Elephas maximus indicus: one gene and its partner. The protein of the gene in region 1 binds, or shares a complex with, the protein of each later gene. Links are inferred from orthologs where the notes say so. Each region holds a gene or a part of one and is shown in the gene's direction. Other genes may lie near its edges. The genes, in order: AP1G1 and AP1S1.

The links.
Region 2: the proteins of AP1G1 (region 1) and AP1S1 are in contact, whole or in part, in a crystal structure (PDB 1W63), measured with the Mus musculus proteins. The link is inferred for Elephas maximus indicus from reciprocal best matches to the Homo sapiens genes AP1G1 and AP1S1. Residues at the interface, in NP_001288140.1 of Mus musculus: Leu7, Arg8, Ile11, Arg12, Arg15, Leu54, Tyr55, His57, Met58, Gly60, Tyr61, Lys78, Phe79, Thr80, Arg83, Ile84, Leu87, Met90, Leu91, Asp94, Glu95, Thr115, Phe117, Leu123, Cys124, Gly127, Cys128, Tyr152, Lys155, Lys156; in NP_031483.1 of Mus musculus: Met1, Leu14, Arg15, Leu16, Gln17, Lys18, Trp19, Leu21, Ala22, Thr23, Asp25, Arg28, Lys29, Arg42, Lys45, Met46, Cys47, Ser48, Phe49, Glu51, Lys56, Gln74, Asp75, Asn76, Glu77, Leu78, Ile79, Leu81, Glu82, Leu83.

Annotation. Positions count from the first base shown.
Region 1 is NC_064839.1:38,634,308-38,650,369, forward strand, and holds the start of AP1G1 (AP-1 complex subunit gamma-1), read left to right. Parts: upstream 1-7,603; 5' UTR 7,604-7,958; intron 7,959-16,062. UniProt on the Homo sapiens protein: Subunit of clathrin-associated adaptor protein complex 1 that plays a role in protein sorting in the late-Golgi/trans-Golgi network (TGN) and/or endosomes.
Region 2 is NC_064830.1:92,566,624-92,583,437, forward strand, and holds AP1S1 (AP-1 complex subunit sigma-1A), read left to right. Parts: upstream 1-8,376; 5' UTR 8,377-8,461; coding exon 8,462-8,464; intron 8,465-10,495; coding exon 10,496-10,674; intron 10,675-11,288; coding exon 11,289-11,397; intron 11,398-12,438; coding exon 12,439-12,576; intron 12,577-13,854; coding exon 13,855-13,902; 3' UTR 13,903-14,627; downstream 14,628-16,814. Other genes in the region: neurosecretory protein VGF, read right to left, coding at 16,460-16,814. UniProt on the Homo sapiens protein: Subunit of clathrin-associated adaptor protein complex 1 that plays a role in protein sorting in the late-Golgi/trans-Golgi network (TGN) and/or endosomes.

The DNA of each region.
Region 1 (16,062 bases):
GGAAGCAGCAGTTAAGAAGTCAGGCAATGTATTGCACTGGGCAAATGTGCTGCAAAAGACTTCTTTAAGGTGTTGAAAAGCAAAGATGTCACTTTGAGCACAGTCTTAGGCTGGCTCTAGAGAAACAAAACCAGTAAAGTGTATAAATATATGTAGAGAGAGATTTGTAGCAGGGAAATGGCTCACGGGATTGTAGAGGCTGTAATGTCCCAAGTCGGTGGGACATTGAATAGAGGCCTCTCCTGATTCACATAGCCCCAGGGTCTGGCAAATCCAAGATCAGCCGGTCAAACAGCAGGGTTTTTGCTCACAGGCTGCGAAGATCAATGAATCCCAAGATCGGCAGGCAAGACTGCAGGTAAGCTGCTAGCTCAAGTCCCAAGAACTGGAGGTCAGACAAGAAGAGCTAGCTGCAGGAACCAGAGCAAGGAAAAGCCTTGCCAGAAAGTCCACTTGTTATATTCAATCCGGGCCTCACCCCCAAGGAAACTCTCTTTCAACTGATTGTCTACTCACAGCAGATCATGGAGGTGATCACGTTATATCAAATCTCATCATGGAAGTGATCACATCATCATATGACTGCCAAACTACATCATAACCACCAGACTACTGAGAATCATGGCCCAGCCAAGTTGACACACAACCTTAATGATCATAAGGATTAAGGTATGCCTGACCCAAACCATGATATTTTCAATCATTTCATATGCATGCAAAAGCTGGACAATGACTAAGGAAGACGGAGGAAAAATTGATGCCTTTGAATTATGGTGTTGGTGAAGAATATTGAATATACCATGGACTGACAGAAGAATGAACAAGTGTGTCTTAAAAGAAGTACAGCCAGAGTGCTCCTTGGAAGTGAGGATATCGAGAGGTCGTCTTGTATACTTTGGACATGTTATCAGGAGGGACTAGTCCCTGGAGAAGGACATTATGGTTGGGAAGGGAGAGGGTCAGTGAAAAAGAGGAATACCCACGACGAGATGAATTGACATAGTGGCTACAACAATGGTCTCAAACACAGCAACAGTTGTGAGGATGATACAGGACTGGGCAGTGTTTCCTTCTGTTGTACACAGGGTCACTGTGAGTTGGATCCAACTTGACTGCACCTAACAACAACAACTGTGAAACTGAAGAGAGGAAAGCCTGAGAAAATAAAATGGCCAAATTAATTTCTCAGAATGCAATTATTGGTTATGTTAAGTATTTATTTCAGAATTCTATTTTATGTGTCCAGGAGGGTTTATGTTGACCCCTTTGTATGTGAAAAAGTGATACCTGTAAACCATTCTCTCTCCTTAAAAAATCAATTTGATGTTCAATATTCCATTCTTGGATCCCCCCCAGCCCCCATTAAAAAAACAACAGCAAAAACTTATTCAAAGAATGTAGGGTTGAAGGGAGGATCTTCCAAACCAGGACCAGGGACCCTGCCTAGCAAGCTGGCAGCCCCTCCTCAGGAGTAAGGGATCTCCTACTGGCACCTGCTCAAGCCCTAGGCCATCCTCTGGCATTCGTGAGTGGCTTGGCAGAGAAGGAGTTTGGTGTTTCCTGAACTTGGCACCAGAGATTGGCTGCCCCAGTTACTTCAGATGTCCCAACAGTTCTTGGACTTCCTGGGCCAATTTTAAAGCAACTGTAGGACTGATTTTAGAGGAACAAGAATGGGGCAATGCACCTAAAGGCCAACGGAAACAAATTACCATGGATCCTTCTAGGCAAATGGTGGTGTCCACATTAAGGAAATTACTAAGTAGACAACAATGAGTCAGTAGTCCTGCTCTGTTTCTGGGTGGCTTATCCTCCTCTGGGGGCCTCAGTTTTGTCTTCCTTAACAAGAGATTAGTATCATTTCCTCAACTTAGGGTTTGAATTGATTCCAGTCTGAAACCTGGTGATATTTTTTACTCCAAAGGTGCGACATACAACAGAATCATTTACAAACCAATTGTAACCACTCTACAAGAAAAACAAACAAACAAAAAAACATTATGACATAAAACATCTCAGGTAGCACTCAAAGCTGTTTAAAACCTCTCTAAAGCAAAGAGGGAGCTTGGCTGAACCTCACATCCTCTGGGCTTTGGTCTTCACTTTGAGGGAACATGTATTTCTTAATGCTCTTGGGAGATGGTCAAAGAGTGTATGGAATTGCCTACTGGAATTTTAATTTTCACATTATTGCTGGCTGTTGTCATAACTGAAGGATTAATTCGTAAGCCTTTTTCTCTGGTCAGGATAAATTGTGACAAGGGGCCATATTTAAAAGGGTTGTAAAAATGCTTTTTCTGAAAACCTTACATAAACAACAGCAGAGGGACTATTTATGGATTTGGGTGACTCAGATGATAACAACACAGTCCAGTGGAGCTGCCTCTTTGACTCGCATCACTGTATTTCCTACAGAGATGTGCTCCCTCTTCAGTGGCCTTTCTGGGCTGAGGTCTCTGGCATGTGGAGAGGCAGGAAGAGTTCCTTGTGAAAGATGCTGACCGCATTTCTGCAGAGACAGCCTTCCTCATCTGCTGTAAAGGTCATGTGGCTTCAGCTGCTGATACTAATGAGTCGTTTAAGAACTCCACTGCATCCCTAAGCCCAAGAGAGAGAACCCTCTCTAGTACCGCAGATTCCAACAGACATGCTATATCTTCCAAAAGCCCTCTTTGACTGCTCTGGCTTCCAGCGAGCTCTCGTTTTTGGTCTTTTTGTACTAGAATTTACTAATCTGCTGAGTAATAGTATTGCTGATATATTTGTAATTTGTGGATTTTAAAAAAAATCTAATTTTCCCCAGTGAGATTATAATTTTCTGGGGGGTAGGGACAGACTCTTTTGAAATGTCTGTTATAGATTCTGGTATACACAGGACAGGAAAGAATCAGGCAGCATATTAATTGAAATAATTACTATTTGGCAGGTACTGGGCTAGAAAAAAAAAGCATATTGAAAATTGGAAGGTCTAGATTTGAGTCTAGTCTCTGCTGTATGAAAGTGTGATAAATCATTTAATTTGTCTGAGCCTCTGTTTTCTCCTTTCTAAAATAGGGATGATAATGTTTGCTCTAAAGAGAGCCGATAGTTATTGAGCTCTTTGTATTCACCAACCACTGTTCTAAGTGCTTTAAATGTATCAGCTCATCATTACACCAGCTTAAAGATGTTGATGTTATTATTAACCCCATTTTACAGATAAGAATGTTGTTGTCGTTGTTAGGTGCTGTCGAGTCAGCTCCGACTCATAGCGACCCTATGCACAACAGAACGAAACACTGCCTGGTCCTGTGCCATCCTCACAATCGTTGTTATGCTTAAGCTCATTGTTGCACCCACTGTGTCAATCCACCTCATTGAGGGTCTTCCTCTTTTCCACTGACCCTGTACTCTGCCAAGCATGATGTCCTTCTCCAGGGACTGATCCCTCCTGACAACATGTCCAAAGTACGTAAGATGCAGTCATGCCATCCCTGCTTCTAAGGTACATTCTGGTTGTACTTCTTCCAAGACAGATTTGTTTGTACTTTTGGCAGTCCATGGTATATTCAATGTTCTTCGCCAATGCCACAATTCAAAGGAGTCAGTTCTTCTTCGGTCTTACTTGTCCATCTTTCACGTGCATATGATGCAATTGAAAATACCATGGCTTGGGTCAGGCGCACCTTAGTCTTCAAGGACTTTGCTTTTCAACACTTTAAAGAGGTCCTTTGCAGCAGATTTACTCAATGATTTGATTTCTTGACTGCTGCTTCCATGGGTGTTGATTGTGCATCCAAGTAAAATGAAATCCTTGACAACTTCAGTCTTTTCTCCGTTTATCGTGATATTGCTCATTGGTCCAGTTGTGAAGAAAAAATTCAAGCCTCGAGTTGCAATAGTGAAGGATCCTATGGGGAAAATATTAAATGACGCAGGAAGCATCAAAAGAAGATGGAGGAAATACACAGAGTCACTATGCCAGAAAGAATTAGTCGATGTTCAAACATTTCAAGAAGTAGCATATGATCAGGAACCGATGGTACTGGAGGAAGAAATCCAAGCTGCTCTGAAGGCATTGGCGAAAAACAAGGCCCCAGGAATTGACAGAGTATCAATTGAGATGTTTCAACAAACAGATGCAGTGCTAGAGTTGCTCACTCGTCTATGTCGAGAAATATGGAAGACAGCTTCCTGGCCAACTGACTGGAAGAGATCCATATTTATGCATATTTCCAAGAAAGGTGATCCAACCAAATGCAGAAATTATAGAATAATATCAGTAATATCACATGCAAACAAATTTTGCTGAAGATCATTCAAAAATGGCTGCAGCAGTATATCAACAGGGAACTGCCAGAAATTCAGGCTGGTTTCAGAAGAGGATGTGGAACCAGGGATATCATTGCTGATGTCAAATGGATCCTGGCTGAAAGCAGACAATAACAGAAGGATGTTTACCTGTGTTTTTATTGACTACGCAAAGGCATTTGACTGTGTGGATCATAACAAATTATGGATAACATTGCAAAGAACGGGAATTCCAGAACACTTAATTGTGCTCATGAGGAACCTTTACATAGATCAAGAGGCAGTTGTTCGTACAGAACAAGGGGATACTGCATGGTTTAAAGTCAGGAAAGGTGTGTGTCAGGATCGTATCCTTTCACCATACCTATTTAATCTGTATGCTGAGCAAATAGGCTGAGAAGCTGGACTATTTGAAGAAGAACGGGGCATCAGGATTGGAGGAAGACTCATTAACAGATGAGAAAGAGGCTCATGAAAGTTCAGAGATGTTAAATAACTTTCTGCAGGTCACACAAGGATGAGTGGAAGGACAAGGTTTTAAGCCCAGGCAGGCTATCGCTAGAAACCCATTCTCTTAACCACTATGCAATAGCGCCCATGTGTTTTACAAGCCCATGGTGGGTGAACAGCAAATGAGTCAATGTATATGAAAATAGTTTTGTAAACTGTAAGACAGCATACGTTTGTGCTATTGTCACTTGTAGTTGTTGTTGTCCTGTGTGGTTGAGTCGATCCCAACTCACAGCAACCCTATGGGACAGAGTAGAACTGCCCCATAGGGTTTCCAAGGAGTGACTGTTGGATTCAAACCGCCAACCTTTTGGTTAGCAGCCAAGCTTTTTTAAGCACTGTGCCACCTCTCTAAATCTATTTTGGAACAAGGCAAGCCATAACCCGTAGATATTGAATGTCTTGCTCAGAGCAGGAAGTTACTTAAACCGAACTAGGACTGGAACCCAAGTGGTTTGACTCCTGGCCAATGCTTTTTCAGTTGTTATTTGTTAAATTGAAGCACGTAAGTTATCAATAAAAAACAAAATCATAGAAACAATGATGTTTTCTCCCAGCCATTCTCTATTCCTAGAAGTTTGTTAAATCTTCTTAGGCTGTTGGTGTTTTAAAAACAAAAATTATCTTTAGCATTTGGATCTGAAAAACTTCATTATCTTAAGAATTTTTTTCAAAGTGTAAAAGTCTGTTTTTTTCCCCAACTATAAAAGTACAGTATGCTTGATGCAACACAAAAACCAAAACCAAAAACAGCAAAAAAAAAAAAAAAAATTGTAAAGAAGTGAAAATCATCTATAACCCCACCACCCCAAAATAGCTATTTTTGTGTTGTAGTTTTATCCTTCAAATTTCTTTCTATGCATATGTAGTTTTTACAAGCTCATTTTATAATACTTTTTTGTAATATTATTTAAAAAAATTTGCCATACGGTGATAAAGATAGAGCTATAGTTGTTTTCACTGGCAACATAATATTCCATTTTATGGAAGTTCTGTAATTTATTTATCTGGGATTAGGGATTATATTTGAGAAGATGAGGAATAAACCTTTCCAGACTTTAATCACTGCCCAGGGAAACCAAAGATCCTGGGATAATGAAGACCCTTTATATACTGGGCCAATTGCTTTTAATTTTCAGTTGTATGAAGGAGGGGTTTGGTAATTATAAATATTGTGAAATACAAGTAAAAAAAAAAAAAACAAACAAGCTTGGAGTGGTCTCCATTTTGTAATGTCTGCAATTTTCTCTTTAATGGTCTGCCATTTGGCCTGGTGGAATAAAGCACCTTCCTTCTTGAATAGCTATACCTCAGAGAAACCCAGGTATGGCATCATATGGTATTCCTGCAGAAGAGGGTGCTGAATTCCAAAAGCATTCCACTCCCTAAACTATTTGCTTTGGGTCAAATCCACCGTGAGAAAGGCAGAGATAGACACAAAGACGGGGGGGGGGGGGGGAGAGAGACAGAGACAGAGAAAGAGACAGAGAGATAGAGAGAGAGAGACAGAGAGAGACTGTGTGTGTGTAGGTGGGACGGGGCGGGGGGCGGGGAGGACGACGAGAGGTTACTGTTTCCCAATTTGCAGGGTAGGACCACTGGAGGGGCAGTGGTTAAGCGTTGGGCTGCTAACCAAAAGGTCGAATCCACCAGCCTCCCCTTGGAAACTCTATGGGGCAGTTCTACTCTGTCCTATAGGGTTGCTATGAGTCGGAATCGACTCGATGGCAAAGGGTTTTTGGTTTTTTGGTAGCAGGACTACAGCGGCATAGGGGAGAAAGGAGGGGCGGATCCTTTGGTAAGTCAGTGTCTGAATTTCAGTTTCCTTATTTATACAACTAAGTTACTTACACTTACCCAGCCTGACTCAGGCGGTTGTCGGGAGGGTCAAAATACATATGCATATGAAGGTGCTTCGTTAACAATGTGATAGCGATATTTAATAATGGTAAAAGATGATTACTATTATTACTATTTCAGCCACCTTGCATGATCCGGTAGTTTAAGGACAAAATTGTACAGATGGGCTACCCCGTTCATCTTTTGCAGTGTTTTGAACCCCCTGAAAATGATTGCCTAAGGGAGAAAAAAAAAAAAAAATACAAACTCTTTCCAATGACACTCAGGTCCTAAACTCAATGCTTGTGATTAGTTCGGTTCACTGGTGCATCCAGCCGGGTGCTGTGCTTTATTCACTTTGGGGGGCACTTTATCTCCAATCTAACCGAAGAGTTTTAGTCTAGGTAGGTCACCTTTTCTTTAAATAGGACAAGATATCATGACACTGTTTATGTTCACATGGAAAATATTCTTGGTCAGGTGTTAGTAATTATTTATCAAGCCAGGAACTGTCTGGTTGGGCTTCCTATGGTTCAGGTTATTAGTTCATGAAGACATACACAGAAAGCCCAGTCTGGAAAGGTTTTATCACTAGCCTAATCCTTTTTTTTTTTTTTTTTTTTTACATAAGAGGGAAGTGAGGCCCACAGAGTTTAAATGACTTGTCCAATGCAGGGGTTGAATGATGGTACTGTGTCCTCCTTTAACTCTTCATGCAGAGGTGATCTGAAAGAGCTTGGGATTTCAGTGGATTATGATTTGGCTCGGGGTTCTCCACCCCTTACCTGCCTCTCCTTTCTCACTTCCTCTGCTACTTTACCTAGCCCCGCCCCCTTCAGGTGCCATTAGCCCAACCCGTTCCCTCCCCCCTCCCCCCACAAAGCGGAACCAATGTTCGTCAGCTCCGGGGTTGACCGGATCCTTCTTGTTCAGACTCATCGCAGCGGTGACTCGGCAGCAGCGTCTCGCGTCATCAGTGACAGCCCCGAACCTTGCTACGCTTCGCGTCGCTCGGCCAGGGGCAGTCGCTTCCTCCGTGGCAAATAGTCCTCGGCGACGTCTAGATTCTTGGATAATAGCAGAAGAGAGGCGCAAAAGGTTGCAGTTAGAGGGTGCGGAATCGATAAGGAGAGGAGGATAGGAACCCGAAGTTTATGCAATAGTGTGTGAAGTTAGTTAAAACTCCGTCCCTCCTAAGGATCCCTCCGCCTGCGGTAGCGGTGGTGAGGCGAGGAAGCCGCCATTTTGGATGTTCGGTTCCTGCTGCCACTGCTGCCGCCGCCCCCGGAGCTGCTGGTTTCATTCGAGGTTTCGGGCCGGTGAGTGTCACTCTCGGCGCCGAGAGTATATTGCTTCTATTGCCCAGCGGCTGCTGCGAGCCCTCGACCGGAAGCTTCCTGATAAGCCCAGGGGTCCGGTTCTAGTCTGTGGGGGGTGAGAACAGAGGACAGAGGCTGGGCCAGGAGGGGCCCGGACCCCAAGGGCTGCTCTGACTTCTTGAGGGCCGCCCCTGAGGCATCGGACCCGGTGGCTCTGCGCGCGGCGGCACTTTGGCTTTGGCGTACCCGGATCGGTGCGGGCCTCCATGAACCCGTTGACTTTCGTAGTCTGCGGTTCTCCTTTGAGGACTCCATTCAGGGAGCCTGGGGTTTAGCGGGGCGGGCTCCACCCCCGCGTGTCTTCACAGAGCCACGTATCAGCGTTCTTGTATCTGTACCCGGGTCAGGTGTCTCACAGAACTCTCCTCAGCATATTCAAATGTTCAGTTAATCGCTGTCTGTCCCTCCAGTGCCGTCCTCCCTGAACCGGACATCGACCTCGCCTTCCTCTAACCTTTCGACCGTCTTTTTCAATTCTCCGTTTTATGTTTTTTTTTTTTTCAAACTAAACTGCGCGTATACCGATTATCCTTCACTCAAAGTCTTGGTCTTGAGGACGTCAGTTTTTAATAATTCTCCCGATCTTTCTGACTGCCTGAAAAAGTTGGGACGGTTGGTTGAGCTCTGTTAGGGCTGGCTGTAGAAGATCCATCAAAGCACCAGCTCAAAGTGTACTTCAGTAGTAAATGTTTATAAAGCAAATTAAATGGCTTTGTGTGTGTGTAAAGTAGGGGGTGTCAAATATTTTCTTTTTGGTGGATTACCCTCTTTTGCTGAGCACTTAGCTTTTTGGTGCTTATTGACATTTGTACATTTTTCTTGGTGTTAACGTATACCTGGGAATGGAAAGCTGCCTATGAAGAAAAATAGTAATCTGATGTAGTTAGGAAGGAGAGTAACTTTTTTGGCTGCTGTAGGGATTAGTCAACAGAAGGGAGGAGTGAATGAAGATTTCTTAGTAATTTTAACTTTTAGGTGTATTGTGTAGAAATGATCTCTCTCACTGACTCTAGAAATGGTTCATTGACTTTTCTTTTTCCTCTCTGTTGTAAAAAAAAAAAAACTGGTCAATTAGAAAATACTCGTATTGACTTTGTGTGTTGGGTTTTTAACATTAACTTAAGCTCTTCTCAGTATACACCTTAGCTTTTGTTTTGAAAAATACAGACCTTCCAGATAAGTGTAATTTCACTACTTTTACTCTGCATCTAAAATATGTTTGCAGGGTAGCATGCGTGAATAAAAGCATTTCATAGCAATTCACTGATTATTTCTTACATTTCAAGTTAGGTGAGTCTGATTCAATCACCCCTATTTCACATCTCAGCTTAGGTTTTTATATCTGTAAAATAACTTATTTGAGATCACAGTCTAGTAACTGTTGAAATTTTAATTTATAACTTGAATTGAGTCACATTTTTTAATATCTAATATTTATATGTATTCACCACTATTTCACGTCTCAGCTTGGGTTTTCACATTTTTAAAAGAGATTACTTATCTAAGATCACAGTCTGGTGACTGCTGAAATTTGAATTTATAACTTGAACTGAATCAAAATATTTTTAGTACCTCTAATATATGTATTTAATACCTCTATAAGTGGAGCCTTGGTGGTGGAGCCTTGGTGGTGCAGTGGTTAAGAGCTTGGCTGCTAACCGGAAGTCAGTAGTTCCAGTCCACCAGCCACTCCTTGGAAACCCTGTGGGGCAGTTCTACTCTGTCTTTTAGGGTCACTATGAGTCGGAATCGACTCAGTGGCAATGAGTTTTTTAATGCGTAAGTGCATTATTCTTGCCAAGTTATTGAAATGAGATTATAGATGAACTGTGTTTACATGACGCCTCAGTAGAATACTGAATGTTTTCATTGTAAAGACTCACTGGTCTTGTTAACTTATTTGTTTTAAGGGAATTTTTCAAAAATGTATTAGTTACTACTAGATATCAGTGAGTTATTAGTGTTCGCGTAGTTTACTCTAAAGCTATGGAGTTTCATGGTTAAAGGAACTGTCAAACACTGAACACCTATGGAATGCTCACTCCTTCACTAACTGTCCCTTACAGATTCTTCTAAAATGTTCTGAGTTACACTTTTAAAGCAAAATATTGCAGGAGCTGTCAGGTGTTATTTAACTCCATTCATTTCGTGGTATAATGTACTGGTAGGTATTTAAATGTTATTCATTCTTTGGGGATTTGCATTCAATTGAAGAAAGTGTTCTTTTGCCTTGGAAATTTTTAAGGACTGTTTAGTGCACCACTGATTGATCAGCATATAGTTGAATATCACTTTGTCCAAGGCTGTTGGGATTACACTTGAAATTAACATTAATGTTTAGGAAACCTCAGTTCATTTTCTTTTGGGAACAGTTTCTTGTTCTTTTGATTTTTTTCACTGAAGTTCTAGGTTTGGTGGCAAATTTTAGAGTGAAACTAAAGTACAGAAATTGCCAGCAATGCCTGGGTTATAATATTTCAGTATTTAAAAAGTCTTGACAATGAATGATATATTTAAGAAAAAAGTTTTTGTGACTTATAAAAACTCTTTATACAAAATTTTAAATGTTGAACGGTCATTTTCCAAAACCATTAAGACTATTTTTAATTAAAAAAGTTGAATTGAGAAACTGCATACCAAAACAGATTTTTGAGATGCTTAATCCCCTTTTTGCATTGGATGAGGATTATCAAATTTTGTGTATACAATAGGACTTAATATCAAAGGTTATAAACTCTCAGATTTAGCTTTAGAAAATCTAATAAAACTATTACCTGTCTTCAAACTGCACCAACTTGTTTAACTGTTTTTGGTGCTTTAATTTAATCTTTCTTTGCTTTATGAATTGTTTTCAATTATTGATTTTGACTTTTTTTCATGTTGCCTTTATTCACTTTCTTTCACGTAGTATAGGATCATATTTAACGTAGCAAGCAAGCGATTTTAAAATGAAGAGAACATACATTTATATAACTTCCCGTATTATCTTGGCTATAGGTTTTGAAAATCATGTTTGTCAGAATGTATTAGAATTTTTCGAGTTGCCTTTTTGTTGTAGGAAATTTGATTTCTCTGAAGGCAGGGAAGAGAAAGGGAGAAAGGTGTAATTTCTACCTTGAAAATACATGTAAGGTTTTTTTCTTTATTGAAGGAGTAACACAAAACAACCTGGCATAAGTTCTGGTTGCTAGAATAATCTCCCGTCAAAAGGTTTGAAGGGTCCAGAAGTGAAAATACCTACACTTGCCAAACTTGTTGAGTTGCAGTAACTGAAACTTTGGTATAAAAGGGCAAGGTTTGTGATAATATGATTAAATTGAGAAGTGCCTTTTTCGCTAGGTACTGGGAAGTTTTGCCTTTTTTAAGCCTAATTGGATCATTGGAGAGGTAAAGATAATAAGTTATAAACATCATCAATGAAAAATTAAATAGGCTTGGAAGAAAAAAATCTTAGTTTTTTAAAAGATGGGGAAAATATATGTGACCTTTGTACTTTTTGAGTAAGTGAAGACATTTTAAAGGCAAGTGGTTTTTAATCCTGCTTTCTCCTTTTTTACAGTATGAAAGTCACAGTGTAACCTGATGTCCAGTTGCTTTGCTAACTTCAACTCACTGTGTCTGGTTCTATGTGTGTTATACTGAGATTCCCAGGCTTTTCATCTTGTCTGTCTTTAAGTTAATGTTTTGGATTCTTGGAAATAACAAACAAGAGAAAGATATGAACTTAGGAACTGTGAAATAACTTTTAGTATTCCCCTTCTTAAAAGCCTTTGGGTTAAAGTTAAGACTTGTAGAAGAAATAGATGTACAATATTTGGCTATAAGAGCCAGCTTTTATAAATGATTGAACAGCAGTTGTACAGCTCAAAATTTAAGGAATTCCATTAGTGTTTCTACAGCTTAATTTAGTGATGCTATTTACTAAACTTCACTATTGGAAAATTGTTCAGTACCAAGCTGAAGAAAAAGGGAGGGAAGTTAATTCTTATATTACTTTTTTTGGTTCACTTTCTATTTTTTGAAAAATTTGAAAGCATCAAATTTTAAAAGTATGGTGAAAATATTAGTTTGAGATGGCTAGTTGGGAGAACTACCAGAGTTAATCGAATCTTTGTAGATACTAGTCTTTTGGTATGATTATTGAAGGAAAAAACCTTATTGTAAACAAGAAAAGAGGCTAGTTTTCTGATAGAACACAAAAACATCAGAAAACATTTTTGATGTATTAAGTGTGTATTTGTCTCTAGCAGTGAGGGCACGGACGCTGTATTTTCTTTAGAAAACTTCCATGATGAAAGCTTAATAAATAGTGTTGGCTTTTTAAGAAAGTAGAACAAGGAAGTAGCTTACGCTTTGATTTTACTAGCCTTTGTTTGTATTGTTTTTATTTATGCACACTGAACTTTTTGCTGTTCCTTGACTACTCCATGTTCTTTACTTTCGCATTGTACAGGTTCCACCTAAACCTGGAATGCTTTTTTCTCCCTTTCACCTGGTAAACTTATTTTTCCTTCATGTGTACCCCGAGGCAAAGGGGTGTAGCACCTTTTTTTTTTTTTAGTACTTGTTAAATTGTCTGTTTTTTCTTGAGCAGTCTAAAGGGGAAAAATTATCTCATTTCTTATGATATCTCTAGTACATAGCAAAGGAACCCTGGTGGTGCAGTGGTTAAGCAGTCAGCTGCTAACCGAAAGGTAAGCGGTTCGAGCTCACCAGCTGCTCCTAGGGGAAAGATGTGGCAGTATACTTCCATAAAGATTACAGCCCTGGAAACCCTATGGGGCAGTTCTCCTCTGTCCTATGGGGTCACTGTGAGTCACAGTTGACTTGACAGCAATGGATTTTTTTATTACATAGCACGGTACCTGGCTATTGGTACTCACTCAGCAGAATAGATAATATGAATGAAAATAATGTGGAGAAATTGTTCAGATACTCAGGCATGCTATAATTGGTCAATCGTAGAGTCAAAAATCATTTGGGGTCCTGACTAAGTTATGGGAATCTATTATAGTCATTTACTTGTGGCTGGTAGAGTTGATGTCAGTGAAGTTTATTTTCAGGTTTAAAAAACATACAAAACCTTGTCTCCAAATCTTTGAAGATATTATTTAGTTGTTCGGTCCAAAACCTGAGATGATCCTTATCTCTTTGTGATTTACTCAAACTCTTACGCAGAAATTTTAAGTAACAACCAAGAAATCTGGCTCTTTCTCATTTGCATATTCCTCTAATTCATTGAGCATCTTCTCATGTGCTAATTGGCTGTTTGTAAATCTTTGGTGAACTATCTGTTAAGTCCTTTGCCCTTTTTTTTTCCCCCAGTCCACTTGCCAGAATTTATTTGTAATTCCAAAATCAGTACTGTATAACACTTCAGTGGTTATTTGTGCAACAGTGAATATTTGAGTCCCCTATAGCCTGTGTTCCTGTCCGAGTTTCAGCAAGGTAGCACTCTGCCTTCATGTTTCATCTCCCACTGTAAACAACTGTCCTTTTTCCAGTCTATTTAGTGCCACATTTATCTCATTTTTGTGCTTTTTGTGGGTGACTTTCCTGTTTAAAATGGTGCCCAAGCATATTGCTGAAGTGCTATCTCGAGTTCCTAAGTGTGGCTTATGGAGATAAGCTTCCTTCAGGTATGAGTTATAGTGCTGTTTGCTGTGAGTTCAATGTTAAGGAATCAACAGGATATATTAAATGTCTTTAAACAGAAACACATATAATACAAGGTCATGTATTGATTGGTTGATTAAAATGTGGCCAGATGCTCACAGGAACCTAACCCTGTATTTCCAGTAAAGCACTCGTTCAGTATTCACTAGTGTTCTCAGTGACTTCAGAACATAACTACTAAGAATCAGCTGCAATTTGTCCATTTTTCCTTTGCCTATTTTTTTGATTGGGTTGTTCGTCTTTTTGTTGTTGAATTGTAGAAGTTGTTTATATATTCTGGATATAAACCTTTATTAGTATATGATTCCTAAACATTTTCTCCCATTCTGTAGGTTGTCTCTTTACTTTGTTGATACAGTCCTTTGATGCAGAAATTTTTAATTTTGATGAAGTCCAATGTGTCTGTTTTATTTTTTGTTGCTTATACCTTTGATGTCATATCTAAGAATCCATTGTTGCAAACTAGGTCTCGAAGCTTTACTCCTTCGTTTTTTTTAACAGTTTTATGATTTTAAGTTGTTGGTACACTTTGAGTTAATTTTCATGTATGATGTGAGGTACAGGTTCAGCTCCATTCTTTTGCCTGTGAAAATCCATTTATCGAAGAGACTTATTTTATTTTGAAGGGACTTATAACCCTTGTTGAAAATCAGTTGACCTTAGATGTATAGGTTTATTTCTGGACTCCCAATTCTATTCTATTGGTCTGTATGTCGGTTGTTATACCAGTACCAGACTGTTTTGATTACTGAAGCTTTATAGTACGTTTTGAAATTGGGAAGTGTGAGTCCTCCTACTTAGTTCTTATTTTTCAAGATTGCTTTGGCTATTCAGGGCCTCTTAAAATTCCGTATAAATTTGAGGATTAGCTTTTCCATTTTTGCAAAGAAGCCTGTTGGAATTTTGGTAGAGATTGCATTGAATCTTCATCGCTTTCGGTAGTATTAACGTCATAACAATATTAAGCCTTCCAATCCATGAACATGAAATGTCCTTCCACTTATTTAAGTCTTTATTTCTTTCAGCAATGTTTTATAGTTTTCAATGTGCAAATCTTTCACCTCCCTGGTAAAATTTTTTCTTAGGTATTTTATTCTTTTAAATGCTGTTGTAAATGGAATTCTTTTTTTTTTTTTTTAAGTTTCTTTTTCAGATTGCTTATTCCTGGTATGTAGAAACCCAACTGATTTGTCTTGACCTTGTACCCTACCACTTTATTGAATTCGTTTAGTATTAGCTTAGTAGCTTTCTTGTGGATTCTTTGGGACTTTCTGTATATAGGATAATGTGATTTGCAAAAAAGGATAGTTTTACTTCTTCCTTCTTAATTTGGATACTTTTTATTTTTCTTGCCTAATTCCTCAGACTAGGACTTCTACTGCAGTATTGAATAGAGTAGTGAGAGTGGGCATCCTTGTCTTGTTTCTGACCTTAAGGGGAAAGCTCTCAGTCTTCCCCATTGAGTATGAAGTTCCAGTCCAGTCGCCATCAAGTCATTTCCAACTCATGGCAATCTCATGTACATCAGTATGGGTTTTTAATAAATGCCTTTTATCAGATCGAGGAATTTTCCTTCTATTCCTACTTGAGTGTTTTTATCATGAAAAGGTGTTGGTTTTTATGAAATGCTTTTTCTGCTTCAATCAGAATGATCGTGTGGTTTGCCTTTGTTCTATTAATGTGGTATATTACTTTGATTTTCTAATGTTGAACTCTGGTATATAATTCTTTATGCTAAGGAAACCAATAGTAAGTAGTCTTTTTCCTGATGAAAATGTGTTGGTAATGGTTTGTTACTGCCTCTCCCCTCATGTTTGGATAATCTACTTTTACAGTGCTGAGTTTTTTTTTTTTTTTAATCTTTCTTTTAAATTTACAAAATAACCACTTCATTTTAATAAGTGAAGAAGTCTAAAGAGATGCGCGATCAAAAGGGCAACATTTGCCCAAAAGCAAACATGAGAAGGCAGGAAAGGGTAAAAAGTCAGGATGAAAGGAAATGGACAGAAATGGGGAGAGTGCTGACACATTGTGGGGAATGAAACCAATGTCATGGAACATTTTGTGTACATACTGTCGAATGGGAAGCTAATTTGTTCTGTGAATTTTTTTCTAATGCACAATAATAAAAAAAAAATCTAAAAACAAACTTTAAAAAAAAGTTATTTCCCTCAACACCTTCCCTTAATTACTCCCCAGCCATTATACCAGCTTATGAGTATCCTTCCATATTTCTCTCCTGCTTAATCACGTATGTTAGTTGCCATCAAGTTGGCTTTGACTTACGGTGACCCCATGTGCAACAGAACAAAATGTTGCTTGATCCAGTGCCATCCTCATGATTGTTAGTGTGCTCAAGTTCCCATTG
Region 2 (16,814 bases), on another chromosome or scaffold:
TATTCCAAAATAAAATTTTAAACTGAAAAAATACCAACAACTATCCATCAAAACTGTGCTGTCCCACTCCAGAATCCTCAAGATAAAACTGATAGATACTATCAGCAGAATTCTATTCCAGCCCTCTAGATACCCAGGTCATCTTAAATAGAAACTAATTATCTTCGGGAAGTTCTTGATCAAAACACTGTCCGGTAGTTAAGAGGTAGTGAGTTCTCTGTCACTGAAAGGGCCCAAGGACAGCCAGGATTAACATGTGGTGAACATGTGTCAATGATCAGGGTATAAGACCAGATGAATTTCTTAAAATGATATACAACACGTGGAAACCCTGGTGGCATAGTGGTTAAGTGCTACAGCTGCTAACCTAAAGGTTGGCAGTTCGAATCCACCAGGCGCCCCTTGGAGACTCTATGGGGCAGTTCTACTCCGTCCTATAGAGTCGCTATGAGTCGGAATCGACCTGACGGCAACGGGTTATACAACATGTGCTCCTAGCAAGACATTCAAACAGTTCAAAAAGGGTAACAGTGGGAACTTGATAGCCACCTTCATGTTCAGATTCTTGGGTGTTTTTGTAGAACTTTACTAAGCATTTACAAGCATATACAAAATATTCTTTTCTTTCACACAAACAAGGTCATACTATGTATACTGTTTTGCAGCTTGCTTTATTCATCTAATAATACATCCCAGACACCTTTCCCTAACTCTTCTTACCAGCTGCAGGTAAAGATGTACTACATAATTTCTTAAACACCAACGGTGGATATTTTGGTTGTTTTAAGGTTTGTTTGTTTAAATTCACTTTATTGTAACCACTTGCAGATACAATGGTCCACTGTGATGAGCTGTACCTCTAATACGCATGGGTTAGACACAGGAATGTGTTTCAAGTGTTGTTGTTACCAACCGTGCTGAGGTGGGCATCCTTGCACATTTATCCTGGTACCCACGTTTCATGTACCCACAGGGTAACTCCCCAGCAGTAGGACTAAGTGTCTTCGAAGAAACTTCCAGTCCTGGAATGATGTGAATCTGATAACACAAACGTTTTCAAGTGGTGCAATCAAAAGTGTTCATTTTACCTGGTTACAGTCTTACCTTTTCTCAAGCTTAGATGAGCCTTCACAACTTTCCCAAATAAACCACTGCTGTTGAGCAAAGGCAGATTTTAGACCTTGAACTAAAAGAACTTTCACATTATTTTTTCCTCTAAAATGATGTTAGGAGTTCCCTGGAGCAAATTCTGATCATAATGTTTTCAAGAATAAATCCAGAAAATGTATTCACGACATGCATTTGTCAAAACCCATAGGCCTGGACAACATAAAGAGTATCCCCCGATGTCAACCATAAACCAAACCAAACCCATTGTCCGTGAGTCGATTCCAACTCATAGTGACCCTATAAGGACAGAGTAGAACTGCCCCATAGAGTTTCCAAGAAGCACCTGGTGGATTGTGAGCAGCCAACCTTTTGGTTAGCAGCCCTAGCTCTTAACCACTACGCCACCAGGATTTCCATAGTCTTTAGTTAATAATAATGCATCAATATTCTCTCAGTTGTAACAAATGTACCACAGGAATGCAAGTTGTTAGTAGGAGAAACAGTGTCCATGGGGAAGGAGCCATACGGGAACTCTGTACTTTCTGCACAATTTTTCTGTAAACATAAAAATGCTCTAAAAAATGAAGTCTATTAAAAAAAATAAAAGAAAGAAAACCATTAATAAGATCTGTCTCCGGCCATCATTGCTGCAGATTTCTTATAAATCTTTCACAGTGGAATTATTTATCTGCACGCAATAGTATGAATTTTATCAACCCTCAATGGTAAAAAAAATATTCTAGGAAAAAAAAAATTCTAGGCATCAGAATGAAACTTGTCAAGGGGACCATCTGTTTTCCAAGCCATTTTTAGGTGGTTCCTCAAGTTAGCTTCATTGTACTAAGAGTAGGGATGAGAAAACAAAAGCAAAGAGAAGTTGAGTAACTTGCTGCCATTATTATTACTTAACAGCTCCAAGAGGCAGTTGGCTCCTGTCTGTGCTCTAAGCCACTACACTTCACTGCCTCTCTTTGTGGCACTTGTGACCATGGGTCTCCCTGAACACACAGAGGGGATCAGATTCAGCTGGAGCAAAGGTGCTGCACCCATTGGCCAGTCACCAACACATTCTCTGTGTACACCACTGCCTTATGAGCCTTAACACCGGCCTCCTGAACTCAGTCTTTTATCACCTAGCCACCAGGTGTCACCTTGACTCCAGTGGAAAGCTCTTCTCTGATGCAAATCAGCTGTGGCTTCTACCAAAATCTTGCCAAGTTTGAACTCCATTCAATTCACCAAGTATTTATTTATAATCCCAACTTTATACTGGGTACCAAAAAAACCCATTACCATCAAGACGATTCTGACTCATAGCAACCCTACAGGACAGAGTAGAACTGCCCCATAGAAGTGCCTGGTGGATTTGAACTGCCATCCTTTTGGTTAGCAGTTGAATTCTTAAATACTCCACCACCAGGGTTTCCATACTGGGTAGTGTGAAGCATTAAAATAACAACAGACCAAAAGAACTAGATGGTGCTCGGCTACAGCTAATGACTGCCCTGACAGGGAACACAACAGAGAACCCCTGAGGGAGCAGGAAAGCAGTGGGATGCAGACCCCAAATTCTCATAAGACCAGACTTAATGGTCTGACTGAGGCTGGAAGAACCCCAGTAGTCATGGCCCCCAGACCTTCTGTTGCCCCAGGACAGGAACCATTCCCAAAGCCAACTCTTCAGACATGGATTGGACTGGACAATGGGTTGGAGAGGGATGCTGGTGAGGAGTGAGCTTCTTGGATCAGGTGGACACTTGAGACTATGTTGGCATCTCCTGCCTGGAGGGGAGATGAGAGGGTGGAGGGGGTTAGAAGCTGGCAAAAAGGACATGAAAAGAGAGAGTGGAGAGAGAGAGCGGGCTGTCTCAGTAGGGGGAGAGTAATTGGGAGTGTGTAGCAAGGTGTATATGGGTTTTTGTGTGAGAGACTGACTTGATTTGTAAACTTTCACTTAAAGCGCAATAAAAATTATAAAAAAAATAAATAACGAGAGAGAGAGAGAAAGTGATGAGCCTTACCATCAAGTCGCTGCAAAAATGACTGAATGAAACCAGGTGCTGGGGGCAACGTGAAATGGGGAATATTAAAAAAAAAAAAATTGAATGAAACACTGTAGAAATGATTGCTATAGTCTAGATTAGAGTGTAAGGGCTTATCAGAGCCTGCTTCACAGAAATCGTTAAGGATAAATAAGATGAATTTGAATCTGTGGAGAGGGAACGGTAGGGCATTCCAGAAAACAGTATCACAAAGAAAAATAATAGCAAAGCAAGTTCATAAGACAACAAGACGATGAAGTCCAAGTCCCCGGGTTTTCAGACTGCTTCCTCCCTCCTCCAGTAACATAACCAGTTCTCCCTCACAGTCGTCCACACACCCTCTCCTAGTCTAGTGGACCAAGTCTTACATATGCCCCTTGAATAAAAAAGACTATGTTTCTATGTTACTCTTCATGTCCCAACGTGTGAACCCAAGAAAAAAGGCAGTGACACTGATCACAATAGGAAAATAGGAGATGGGGTGGTTTCTGGGGAAAGTGGGAGGAAGTGATAACTCTTTTTTGGCAAGTGAAGTTTGAGGGGACAATGGAATTTCCAAATGGGGGATCCAGTATGCATTTATCCAACAAGTATCATGTGCCTGCCGTGCGCCAGGCACTGTGCTAGGTACAGGAGAAACAGCAAAAGAAGATAGTTTATCTTCTAGCAGGAATATATATATATAATACTAAAAGACAGAATTAGAACTTAGCATGCTTTCCATGAGAAGTAAGATTTATATATCTAGATTTGTGTTATGGATTGAATCATGCCCCCCCAGAATAGGTGTTGTAAATCCTAACCTGTATGCTTGTGGCTACAATCCCATTTGGGAATGAGTTGTACTTGTTATGCTAATGAGACAGGATTAGTATCTTGAGTCAATCTCTTTTGAGATATAAAAGAAATTAAACTCAAGTCAGCAAGCAGAGATAGGGAAAGAGATGCCAAGCCACAGGAAGACAGCCCAAGAGCAGAAGCTTAAAGAGACAAGGGCCTTCCTGCAGAGTGGACAGAGAAAGAAAGCCTTCCCCTAAAGCCGGCGCCCTGGACTTGAACTTGTAGCCTCCAGAACTGTGCGAAAATGAATTTCTATTTGTTAAAGCCACCCATTTGTGGTATTTCTGTTACAGCAGCACTAGATAACTAAGACAATTTAATAACATCTAAATAGATCATAATGGAAGCCAATCAACAAGCACTATGCTGAGTGCTATAAAAGAAACTAAAGATGTATATGACTCCACCCACAAGAAGCTTACAATCTAGTCAAAGAGACAAGGCATACTCACATATGCAATCAATGGACATCATGGCATGATAATGAAGTTAACCAGTCAGGGTTCTCAGTTACAAGCAACAGAACCAGCTCTGGAAAACTAGCGAAAAAGGAAATGATTTCCTTTTTTTTCCAGCGAAAAAAGAAATCGGGTAGCTCATGGAAATGCCAGGAGGGCCAGAGTACTAGGTTGGAGGTCTCACACAAGGAACAGTGCCCCGAATCATACCTTCGTCTTCATCCCTACACCTCACTAGACACAGGACACGGCTACTGGCGCCACTCCACTGCGGTCCTAGGGACTCGATGCTCCGACCCTCTGTCACTCTCCTGTCAATTGCCCCATCCCCACCTCATTCTCTCCTGGGCCAAAGTCTGGGAGATGGACAGATGGGCAGAGCCCAGCAGACACGCCCATGCTGTGGCTGCAAAGGAGGCTGTGAAAGTGAGTATCTGAAATTTTCAGATGCTACAGTGGGAGGTTGTTCTATCTCCCTCTGGACTCATAAAGTGGGGATTTCCAAACTCTAGAAACAGGGTTTTTAGAATCTAAAAAAGGTTTAGAATCTAGGAGATGAAAAAGAATGACAAACATCTACCACAGAAAGTATTCAAATGCTCAGGACTGAAAGGAACAGTATATAGGAAGGTATGAGTTCAAACAAACAAACAAAGATCACTGCAAATGAGTTCATCAGGGAACTATGAAAGAATGGACCAAACATAGGTGCAGAGAACATCACAGGAGAGAGAAACACAGATCATAGACTCATAAAGATGGAAGGGCTTCAGAGGCCATCTGGGCCACCTTCCAGCCACCACAGGAACCACCTTATAACCAGATGAGGGAAGGCATGTGGAAGTGTCAGCACGGTCATGGGGAGACAATACAAATTCCATCCCCACCTATAAAGGACAATCTCACCTCTCCCATATTTTTCCGTTCATAAAAATGGCACCACTAATCCTCCAGGCTCGTCTTTGATTCTTCTCCCTTCTTCTCTATTTAGATGAGTTATCAACTTCTGTTGACTGGCCCACTGCAAGTGTCTCTCTAATTTATCCTTCCATTTCCTCTCACGCCTGGATTACCAAAACTGCTCCTATACGGTCTTCCAGCCTTCCATTTGTCCTTTCAAATTGTCCCACATATTACTGTAAGACTGATTTTCCTAAAAGTGTCTTTGCCAAGTTATTCCCCAGCTCAGGTGACTGTAATGACTCCCAACTGCTTACTGCGTCAAGTTTGAACTCATCTGCAGACAAAAGCTATTGGATGAACAAAAGGTATTGAATCTACTAACTTACAGATCCCCTACAATCATCGTGTACTAACAATGAACAAACCTAGTCGTCATCTTCTAACTAGTTTCACCCGCTTGGATTCTATGATTCTACGTGAGCAAAGCCCTTGTTTCTAACAATTTCCCATGAGTCTTTTCTGCAGCTAGGCATACCACATTAAAATGAGGAACTCTAGAAAGCGTTAGCTTTCTAAGGAATGTAGGAGTTTACATCTCTAGAGCTTCCAAATTTGCACAAGCTGTTGCCTAGCTCTCCACTTTGTCTTTACCTCATTTCTCCTTACTTCCTTGTTTGCAACCTCCTCCCCTCTCCCATGAGCACATTTCTTTTTATTTGTTTTGCCTTCTGTCCTGCTTACACATAACGATCTACCCTTTCTAACTCTTACAACTTGTTTTATTAATGTTACTTTTGACCTAATAAATAACACCAAGATACTTCAGCCAACATCTATGCCATTGGCAAGCCTAACGCATCAGCAGAGGAGAAAGGGAAATGAAAAAGAAAGGAAGAAGAAAACACAAAAGAAAGAGGAGTGTCTTACTTATCTATTCCTGCTATAACAGAAATACCGAAAGTGGGTGACTTTAACAAACAGAAATTTATTTTCTCACAATTTAGGAGGCTAGAAGTCCAAATTCAGGGCAGCAGCTCTACAGGAAGGCTTTCTCTCTCTGTTGGTTCTGGGGGAAGGTCCTTGTTCTTTGGTTCCTTGGAGATCTCCCTGTGGTGTGGTATCTATCTTCCCCCAGCTCTGCTTGCTTGCTTGTTTAATTTCTTTTATATCTCAAAAGAGATTGATTTAAGACACACCCTACACTAACACTGTCTCATTAACATAACAAAGAAAACCCATTCCCAAATGGGATTATAACCGCAGGTATAGGGGTTAGAATCACAACACATATTTTGGGGGGACACAATTCAATCCATAACAAGGTGGGAATGGGAAATAATGATAATAGCTACCATTATCAAGTTTACAATATGCTAGATAAAAAAAAACTTTCTATATATTATCTCTAATCATAAGAGCAACCTTGTAAGATAGGCATTGCTACCCTCATTCTTAAAATGAGAGATGGAGGGATACAGATTAAATGGCTCACCTGAGGCTATACATCTAATAAGGGTGAGAGACAAGATTCCATCCCAGATGAATTAGCCCCACCCCATTGTCGCTAGAGCAGAACCGCCATAACAAAGAACCAGAAAAAAAAAATTAAAAAATTAAGTGGAGACATGTAAGGCTTTACCCACAATTACTTCAACTGCTACTAAAACATAATAGTATCATCTGTTGCCAAGAATTATCTAGAAATACCCATTAATTTTTCAGCATGACAAAATTTAAAATGTTCTCCTAGGCTTAAGATAGATAGCTGCTGTTGAGTTGACCCAAACTCATGGCAACCTCACGTACAACTGAACAAAATGCTGCCTGGTCCTTCATCATCCTCATAATTGCCATCATGTTCAAGCCCATCATTGTGGCCATTTCGCCAATCCATCTCACCCACTGTCTCCCTCACCCTTGCTGGCCCGCCACCTCACACACCATGATGTCCTCCTGAAGCAATTGGCCCCTCCCAATAATGTGTCCAAAGCAAGCGAGTCAGATAATGATCTGTTGTGCTCCACAAGGTTTTCATTGGCTAATTTTCAGAAGTAGATTGCCAGGTCTTTCTTCCTAGTGTGTCTCAGTCTGGAAGTTCTGTTGAAACCTCCACCAGGGGCAAGCCTGGTGGTATGTGAAACACCAGTGGCACAGCTTCCAACATCACAGCAATGCACAAGCCACTGCAATTCCAACAAACTGACAGAAAGCAGTGATGCTATCCTTACAGAGCCACCCCTTTTCACCACCACATAAACACACACACACAGACATGCACAGGTGTGCACACTCACATATACACACACATCCTCAGTTAAAAAGCTCATCTTACAATCTGCACCCTACTCATCTTTACACATATGTCTGGTTACGTCTGTCCCTTTTTAGTTTTGATACATGCTAATCTTTTTAAAAAAAAATTTTTTTTATTAAGGTTCCCTTTATTCTCCCCCTTGAGCCTTAATTTCCCTTCATGTTTCTCTCTCTTCCTTATATCTCTTTTAATATGAGCCTCACCTTTTCTCTTTTATCATTCCCCTCATTTCCTCACACTTCTCTTACTTGAAGAGAATGTTGCACCTAGCAGGTTCTCAGTGGATACTAATTTTGAGCTTTATCTTTGTCTTCCTGCCTCCCTGATCATTCCTCTCCCCCTACATCTAGTTCCCACCCTGCTCAGTCTCAATTGCCCACGTTCCTTCCATTAGTTCTCCTTGCTTCCTCACAAATGCCAATGGTCGTCCCATACATTTCTCACGCCTTTTCCCGCCTTTTTCCCCCAAGGTTCTATAGCGCGAGGACTCATTGTCTTCCTCCCACATCCTCTAACCAACCTACAAGACAGCCTTGTTACCATGACGACAGAGCTACTCAAAGCTGAAGTCAAGGACCTGGTTGCCATGGCTCCCGCTTGTCCGCCTCCAGCCCCTCCCGCGCGCCCCGTAGCGTTGGCGCCTGCGCAGTAGGCAACGCGCCGGGCCTCCGAACTTGGGCGGGACAAGGCGGGGCTTCAGCCGAGAGGGAGGGAAGAAGAAGAAAGGATAAGACGGGAATAGAGCTGGCGCCTACGGTGGCCGAAGAGGGACGCGCCGAGCCGGAGGCTGCAGGATGGTAGGCTGTGCGAAAAGGGAGGGGAGGGGGGAACTGAGGGGCGTGGGCTGCACCTGAGGGGGTCCTTGGGGGCCGCCCTCTGTGCGAGTCGTTCTTTCTTCACTGTCGTCCTCAGAGACCCTCCTGTATCTGGGCGGGTGGGCGAGGCGGCCTCCGAAGGAATTCCTGGGAATGGCATTCGAGAGGAGTGGGGAGGAGGCGCATTTGCTGGGCGAGAGGGGGCTGATGTGGGGACGGCGGCACCGGCGAGACCGGACTGAGCCAGGAGTGGCCGGGTCTCGGTCCGAGGGGTGCCGACCCCTGCCGCCGGGAAGTCGCCCGATGTACAGGGGCGCGGGGGTCTGCTCGTGGAGGGAGGGAGGAAGGGACTGGGGGCCGCCGGTCGTCAAGACCCTCTGTTCTCGAGCAGCCCAGAGAGGAGCGGCGGCCGGTGGGGGAGAGCGGGTGTGGGAGGGAGAGTTTCCGGGTCCGAGGAGGGGACGTCCTGCCTCGCTGTATCGCCATGCTCGCCTGGGGGCAGCGGTGAGGCGGGGAAGCGAAGGGGGCTGGAGCTTTGGCTCTCAGGGACCCAGGCTCTGAGCTCCTGGGCGCCGCTGCTTTTCGCTCTCCGCCCCCCTTCCCATTCTTTTTCCGGAACCCAGGCCTTCCGTCTTCCTGCTCGCCCCACCGCCCCCATCATAGACGCGCCCCGCTCCCTGGCGCCCCTCTCTTCTCCTCCTGCCACAGTAACAGTACTTCCTCTTCCCTACCCCCGAAAAGCCTAGTTCTCGCCTGGCCTTGAATTCAGATTTCTAGCCCACTGTGCCATACGCTAAGGAGCCCTGGTCGCTCAGTGGTTAAGTGTTCCGCTGCTAACCGAAAGGTCGGCGGTTCGAACCCACCAGCTGCTCCGTGGGAGAAAAATGTGGCAGTCTGCTTCGGTGAAGATTTACAGCCTTGGAAACCCTACGGGGCAGTTCTACTCTGTCCTATCAGGGTCGCTCTGAGTCGGAATCAACTCAACGGCAGTGGGTTTCGTTTGGTTTGGTGCCATACACCCAGGGATTCCAGACCTGGTATTGTCCACAGAGAGGAGAGCTGCTGGGAGGAGGAGATGAATCTGGAGCTAGGAAGCTGGAGGTGCACTGGTAGTGAGGGCTCTGCTCTCCTCTGCAGTCCACCCAGCTTGCTCTGTGCGCCACAAACATTCCCAGGTAGCTGTGTCCTCACTCAGGGACCCAAAGAGAGGTTAGTCATCCGGGGTCTGAGAAGTGGGCGCTTAGCAGAAGACAGCCCTAAAAGGCAGAGATGCTAAGAAATCAGAGGCCAAATATCTGGATGACTGCAGAGAGAAGAGGGTGGAATTTGGGATCCCAATACTATGTGCCAGGAGAAGGATAGGACTGGCACCAGAGGGCAGGGTGTTTGGGACATCAGAGAGGACTCATGGTTAGGATGGGGTGGAGAGTAGAGGTAGCTTGTTGAGGGGCAAAATATCCAATTTCATGGTGGTGATGGACAGAAAGAACTTGGAAGAGACCAACCATCTCTTTAGCATCTCTTTAGGGGCTTCTTGTCATGATGCTGGGCATTTTACTTATCTTTAGGAAACAGGAGGTCAGGAGATAATAATTATAGTACTTAACACATTACAATGCTTACCATGTGCCATGCACTGTCGCTAATACCAACTCATTTAATCCTTCCTAAAAATTTTGTAAGGTGGGCACTTTATGATCTCCATCTTACAGATAAGGAAATAGAGGCCCAGAGTCATAAAGGAATTTACCCAACACCATACCCAACTCGTAGGGTCTGGACTTGAGCCCAAATGACAGGCTGAGAAGCTCTGACTTCCCCCAGAAGGACAGGTACCACGTGGTGTGAATACCCAGCATTGACAGCAAAGGGCTGGAATTTTTAAGAAAGCAGGAGCTGGAGTGGAGAAGAGTTAGACGGGATGAGTTTGGGACTGTGTGTTTGTGGAGGGAAGAAGCTCAGAGGAGCAAACCTCTGACCCTCAGCTCTGCTCCCCCTACCCCCCCCCCCCAGATGCGATTTATGCTGCTGTTCAGCCGGCAGGGGAAGCTGCGGCTGCAAAAATGGTACCTGGCCACATCCGACAAGGAGCGAAAGAAGATGGTTCGGGAGCTTATGCAGGTTGTGCTGGCTCGAAAGCCCAAGATGTGCAGCTTCCTGGAGTGGAGGGACCTCAAAGTCGTCTATAAGAGGTGACACATCACCTACTGTCAAAACTGCCTGGATCCTGTTCGATTAGAGTTTGGCAATGGGTTAAAGAGAGGGGATACTGGTAAACAAAGGGCCCCTTATGTCAGGGAGAACTGGGAGCTAAGAACATATCTGGACGTCACTGATTAACCCCAGCTTTCCTTCCTGCCAAACTCCTCTTGAAGAAACTCTTGTTCTCCACTTGATTTTGGTCAAGCACATACCTCTGTCCCTAGAGGCTCCATTTGGTCCACTGTGTGTATCCCTTGTAGTCTCAACAGTCATAGATCCTGCCCCACTTTCCCAACACACGCAGACACATGTACCTTATCCAGTTCCTTCTTTAAGCAGGTGAATTAGTTGGCTAATTTTTTGCTGAGTCAAACAACAGGTCAGAGGGCAAGAAAGAAAAAGTGTGTGTCTTTGCGTATGTGTGTGAGAGAGCACCAGGAGGCAGAGTGAGTTACCCTGTCTGTGTCTAGTGGAGGCACAGACTGGGCTGGGAATGAGGAGAAACAGGGGGTTTAAGCTCAGAGTGCCTGGGTCCTGAACCCAAAAAAGGGTCCTGAAGCAGCCTTCAATTCAGCAGCTATGGCTCATGTACCCCTCTCTCCAGATATGCCAGCCTCTACTTCTGCTGCGCCATCGAGGGCCAGGACAACGAGCTCATCACGCTGGAGCTGATCCACCGATACGTGGAACTCCTGGACAAATACTTTGGCAGCGTAAGTCACTCCACTCATCTGTTTCCTTACCCAACAATCTCCCCTTGCTACCAAATGCCAGGGCCCTTCTAGCTTCTGCCCTGGAAGACTTGGGAGAGGTGAAGTTGGAGCAGTGAGCACAATAATTAATCTCCCTTTTTAAGCCTTAAGCCTATTAGCCATGTACCTTAATCAGTCGCAGGGAAGGGGTGGGGGGAAGGTTTGGACCAGAATCTGTCACTTAATCTCCACATACAGCTCAGCTCAGACTACTCACACAAGGCCAGAGGCTATGTTCAACTTTTTATCAGTGGTTTCTGACCTTGACTACATGTTGGAATCTTCTGGAGAGCTTTTTGAAAATATTGATGCCCAGGTCCCACCCCAAGATTCTGAATTAACAGATCTAGGGCGTAAAGGCTTTCCTTGGAAACTCTATGGGGCAGTTCTACTCTGTCCCATAGGGTCGCTATGAGTCGGAATCAACTCGATGGCACTGGTTTTTTGTTTTAGGGTGTAACTTAGGCATCAACAGACGGCTCAAATCATAGATGGGGAATAGTAATAACTCCATAATTTGTACTCCACTTAACAATTTATGAAGTGCTTTTATGTCGTTCTCTTGTTTGCTCTTTCCTCTGTCTTATGAGTAGATGTTGTTATCTCTATTTTTGCATGAGAAAACTGAGATTCAGAGACATTAAGTGACATATACCGCTAGCTGGATAATGGCACAGCCCTGCCTGGAACTCAAGTCTTCCACCCAATTGTCCAGAATCTCCTCTTCTTCTGGTGGGAACAATATTGCAGTTTTGGCTGGGAAAGGCAATAGGAACCACAGATGAGGGTAGACTAGGGCAACTGGTATTTCATGATCATGGAGAAAGAGGCAAGCGAAGGAGAAGAAAAAGCAGCACCAACTACTAAGGACTGGGGTTGGGAGGACTAGGACCTGGGGCAAGAACCCAAGAGTGGTCATAAGAAAAGAAGTGGAGGGCTGGGGTAGAGGTAGGGGTGGGAACACATCTTGTCACTCAACCTTGTCTTCCCCCTCCTCCTCAGGTGTGCGAGCTGGACATCATCTTCAACTTTGAGAAGGCCTACTTTATCTTGGATGAGTTTTTGATGGGAGGAGATGTCCAAGACACCTCCAAGAAGAGTGTACTGAAGGCTATCGAGCAGGCAGACCTGCTGCAGGAGGTAGGGACCAGGGACAGTGAGGAGGAGGAAGAGCACCGACACTCTGCCTACTGGTGATGGCTGCCCCCTTCCCGCTGCCACTACCAGGGTGGCCTTCGTCCTTGTGGCACCTTCCCCCTTCCCTCTACTTAAGCCCTGACCATAGGGGTTGGGAAGCAGGGTTGGTAGACAACCCACCTGTGCCATTTCTCCTCTCAGTCCAGGTTCTGTCATTCTCCCAAGACCCGGGTGCCTTGTCCCAGGCAAATCTTTTTTGTTCCATACTTCTTTTGGTCTCAAGAGTTGCTCAGAAAATTGGAGAAGGGAACACATACGTGGTAGATAGCTCTTTTATTCCCTGGTTTCTTCCCCAATTTTTTTTTTTTTACCACACACATATTCAACAGCTTCTGCTTCTTAGGAGCAAAAGGCTGTGGGGATTTGGGGGCTGGAGTAGAGGCTGCCCGCTCTGCTGGTTCTCTCTGCTCTCTGCCCCCCACTCGCCCACACCCCATTACTGCCTGCCCCCTCTCTGCTTGCCACGGCTGAGACTTGGTGCAGGGAGATGAGTCACCGGAATCTGCAGTGACAAGCAAGTCAGCCTGAGCTGGCTATGAGGAGGGGGAGAGCTGGGGTGGGGGAGGGGGGCCGCCTCTCTGCAGGAGGAAAGGCAGAGCTGAACTTGCCACCTCACTGGTCCAGCTTCCCCATTTCTGTCTCTGTCTCTCTCCCCTTTCTCTCTCTCACACACGCACACGTACACACATGCCCTGGCATACATGCCCACCCCTGTTATTAGTGCTCTTCTCAAACCCTAATGACTCATCCCTCTACAGCCTGGTTCACCTTCCCTCGGGGACCTGAAGCCAACCTCTTACCCTACCCCCACACTCTGAAAAGGGGGGACCCAACCATGTGCCACCTTCCATTTCCCAGAAAGCAGTCCCAGCTTCGCCCCCCTGTTGCCCTCCCTCAGGTACTCAGGCTGAGCCCCTGCTCACCAAGCTCCTGGCTTTGGGTTCTTTGGGTGGTGGTGGTCTGACTCCTGGCCCCTGCCCTGCCATTGTTGGCTCTGGGGGTGGTCCTGGGAGGCCAACAAGCTCCCCTCAAGGGCTCCCAGCTGATCCAGACTTGGTTCACAGGCTCACATTGGCTTTTCTTTTCCCTGCCCTGTGTCTCCTCTGCTTCCTAACTCTGACTCCTTCCTCATGATTGCCGTTGTCTTGGCTACCCCCTCTCTCTTCCTCCCTGTCTGCCTCTCCTGGTGTCTCTGCGTCACCGTGTCTGTCTCTGCCTTAGGAGGACGAGTCACCGCGCAGTGTGCTAGAGGAGATGGGTCTGGCGTAGCCCCGGTGTGTGACTCGACGTGGGGCTGGTGGAGAGGCAGGGCGAGAGCGGCTGCTTCTCATCGTCTCTCCAGGCCCTTTTCTTGGTGGGACCCAGCCGCCCCTCTGCTGCCTCGCCTTCTTCTGGAGTGAGCTGCAGGCTCCGGACCCTCAAACATTCCCTCCTTCTGCCCCCTACCTCCTGTTTTCCCTTTTCCCACCCAAGGCTGAAGGAGCTAGGAGGTAGGAAAATGTGATCGAGATGGGGGTGCTCTTTGGATTTTATTTCCTGCCTTTGAAGAACTTCTCCAGACTTCCTCTCCTCCCTTGTAACTGTAAATATATAAATACGTCAGGTTAAAGGGAAATGGTTTGCAGGGTTCTTTTCTTTCCCCTGCCCCCGTACCCTACCTCTACCCTTTTCCCCCAGCCAGCCAGCCAGCAAGCTTCTCTGCCTGGGTCTGAGGCTGCTGAGTAGGGAGAGGGAAGCCCTTGCCCTCATCTGCCTCATCTCTGTGTGGCTGTAGTGGGACCGGGTCCAGGGCCAGTGGAGGAACAACAGAGTTAATTTTTTTCTAACCTTGCCACCTTGAGAGAAGGAAGAGTTGGAGGAAGGGAGAACTTTGTGGGAGACTGGGCCCTGTCCCTCCTCCCACCATGTTCTGGGTGAGGCAGGAGCTAAGGGGGTAGGCTGGGGGAAGTGTCTGACCTTATTTCTTCTGAAATAAAAGGAAAAACATTTCTGGACTTTGCCTTCCTTGGACTCTGTGGAGGAAGGCAGGACTGCTGGGATCAGCCAGGACCCAACATTGCCTATTCACCTCTTTCCCCAAAAGGATTGCCAAATTTAGTTAAAGAAAAAAAAAAAAAAAAGACACCCAGTTAAATTTGAATTTCAGATGAACGATGAATACTTTTCTTAGTTTAAGTGTGTCCCTTGCAATATTTGGAACACACTTATATTAAAACCTTATTAGTTGTTTATCTGAAATTCATACTTAACCAGGTGTCATGTATTTTATCTGGTAACCCTTCCCCAAACAGATTTGTGTGCTCAATGCTTCTCCAGCCACCCTGCCTCCAGCTCCCTGAACTACCTTCACTGGGAAGGAGCAATTCCTCAGGAAGTGGCTTCATGCCTTGGGTGTTTCGTTATGGAGGATTTCATTTACCCAGGTTTAGATGTGGGAGAGGAATCAGTAGTTCAAGGATATAGCTCACCCCCAAGGTTGGGAAAGTGTTGAGAAGGGGCTAAAACCAGGATGTTTGACTGCCAACCCCTCCTCTCCATATTTCTTGTGAAATACATACCAAAAAACCAAACCTCTTGGGGTTGAGTCAATTCTGACTCATAGTGACCCTACAGGACAGAATAGAATTGTCCCACAGAGTTTCCAAGGAGCACCTGGTGGATTTGAACTGCCGACCTTTTGGTTAGCAGCCATAACTCTTAACCGCTAGGCCATGAGGGTTTCCCTGTCAAGAATATAGTACCAAGGAATTTAGGGATTAGTGAAAGGAGAGGGGAGGTGAGGTGGACCAGAGGCAGTGGGGAAGTTACCCCAACATGCTCAAGTGGTTCAAGAGTCACAGAATGAAGAGCCAACCTGGTGGCTCTGCATGTCTTTGCCAAGCCCTGGGGAAAGGTGTCTTTTTAACGCTCTCCCTCCTTCAGCTGGAAGTGGAATTTAGGGTTTCTGGATGTGTGTGAGCTGTATAAAAAAAAAAAAAAATCAAACCTAGTGCTGTCGAGTCAATTCCGACTCAGCAACCCTATAGGACAGGGTAGAACTGCCCCATAGAGAGTTTCCAAGGAACGCCTGGCGGATTCGAACTGCTGACCCTTTGGTTAGCAGCCGTAGCACTTAACCACTATGCCATCAGGGTTTCGGTGAGCTGTATGCTCCCCCTAAATACCGGATAAAGTGAATCCACCCCTGAACTCTGATTTGGTTGGGGGTAGGAGGCAGGATACGGGTGTCATGGTTGGCGCTTCCTTCACCGCCCCTTGTGAAGGACCCCGCAGGCCCAAGGGGACGGGTGAATAACCGAGAACAAAGTCCTAATAAAATAGTCACTTTTATTTCTTAGCAAAACTATTTCCTCCGTGAGGGGTATTTACAACAGAGAAGGAAAAGAAGGGGTAAATTCACAGCGATCTGGAGAGGGTGGGGAGGTTCGTGGGAGGCCCAAAGGAAGGAGACAGACACGCTGCTTCACACAACTAACTGAAACTGCTTTTTCCGGTTTCGGACGGGGAAGTCCCTGACGGGACGAGGTGAGGACCGGGGCCCCCTGGGGAGGAGATTCACACAAACCACCTGCCCGCCCGCTTGGGCTGGCCCCAGGTCACCACGAGTGAGTTTGGGAGATCGGGCTTCGGATCCAAGAGGTATGACAGGTCTTGGCACAGCCCTGGGGCGGGGCTCGGCCCGCAGGCCAAGGAGGAAGGGCGAGAGCGGGGCCGGGAGGCGGCCGAGGGGCGGGGCCGGGGCGCATGCAAACATCGAGAAGGGAGAGGAGCGACACGGAGGGGGAACTGCGGCGCGCGGGCCGGGGGCCCGCGGGGCCGGGGCGGGTCACGGGCGCCGGAGCAGCACGTGCTCAATGTAATTCTCCAGCTCCTCCTGCTCCTGCAGCCGGCGCTCCTCCGCCTCCGCCTCCTCTTGAGCGCGCCGAGCCTGGGCCTCCAGGCCGGGATAGTGGCGCGGAGGCGGCAGGGCGTGGTGATAGTGGCGGCGGCGCGAGGCGGCTGGTGGCTGCAGTGTCCGCGGCCGGATGTAGTTGGGAAAAGGGTGATAGGGGCCCGGGGAAAACACCTCGTCCTCCTCCCGATCCCAGGGCGGGAGCACCTCGTTCCAGTCGGGCAGCTCATCTTGAGCGGGCGCGGGGACAGGGGGCGGGGGCTGCGGGGAGCGGACGTGAGTGGGGGCG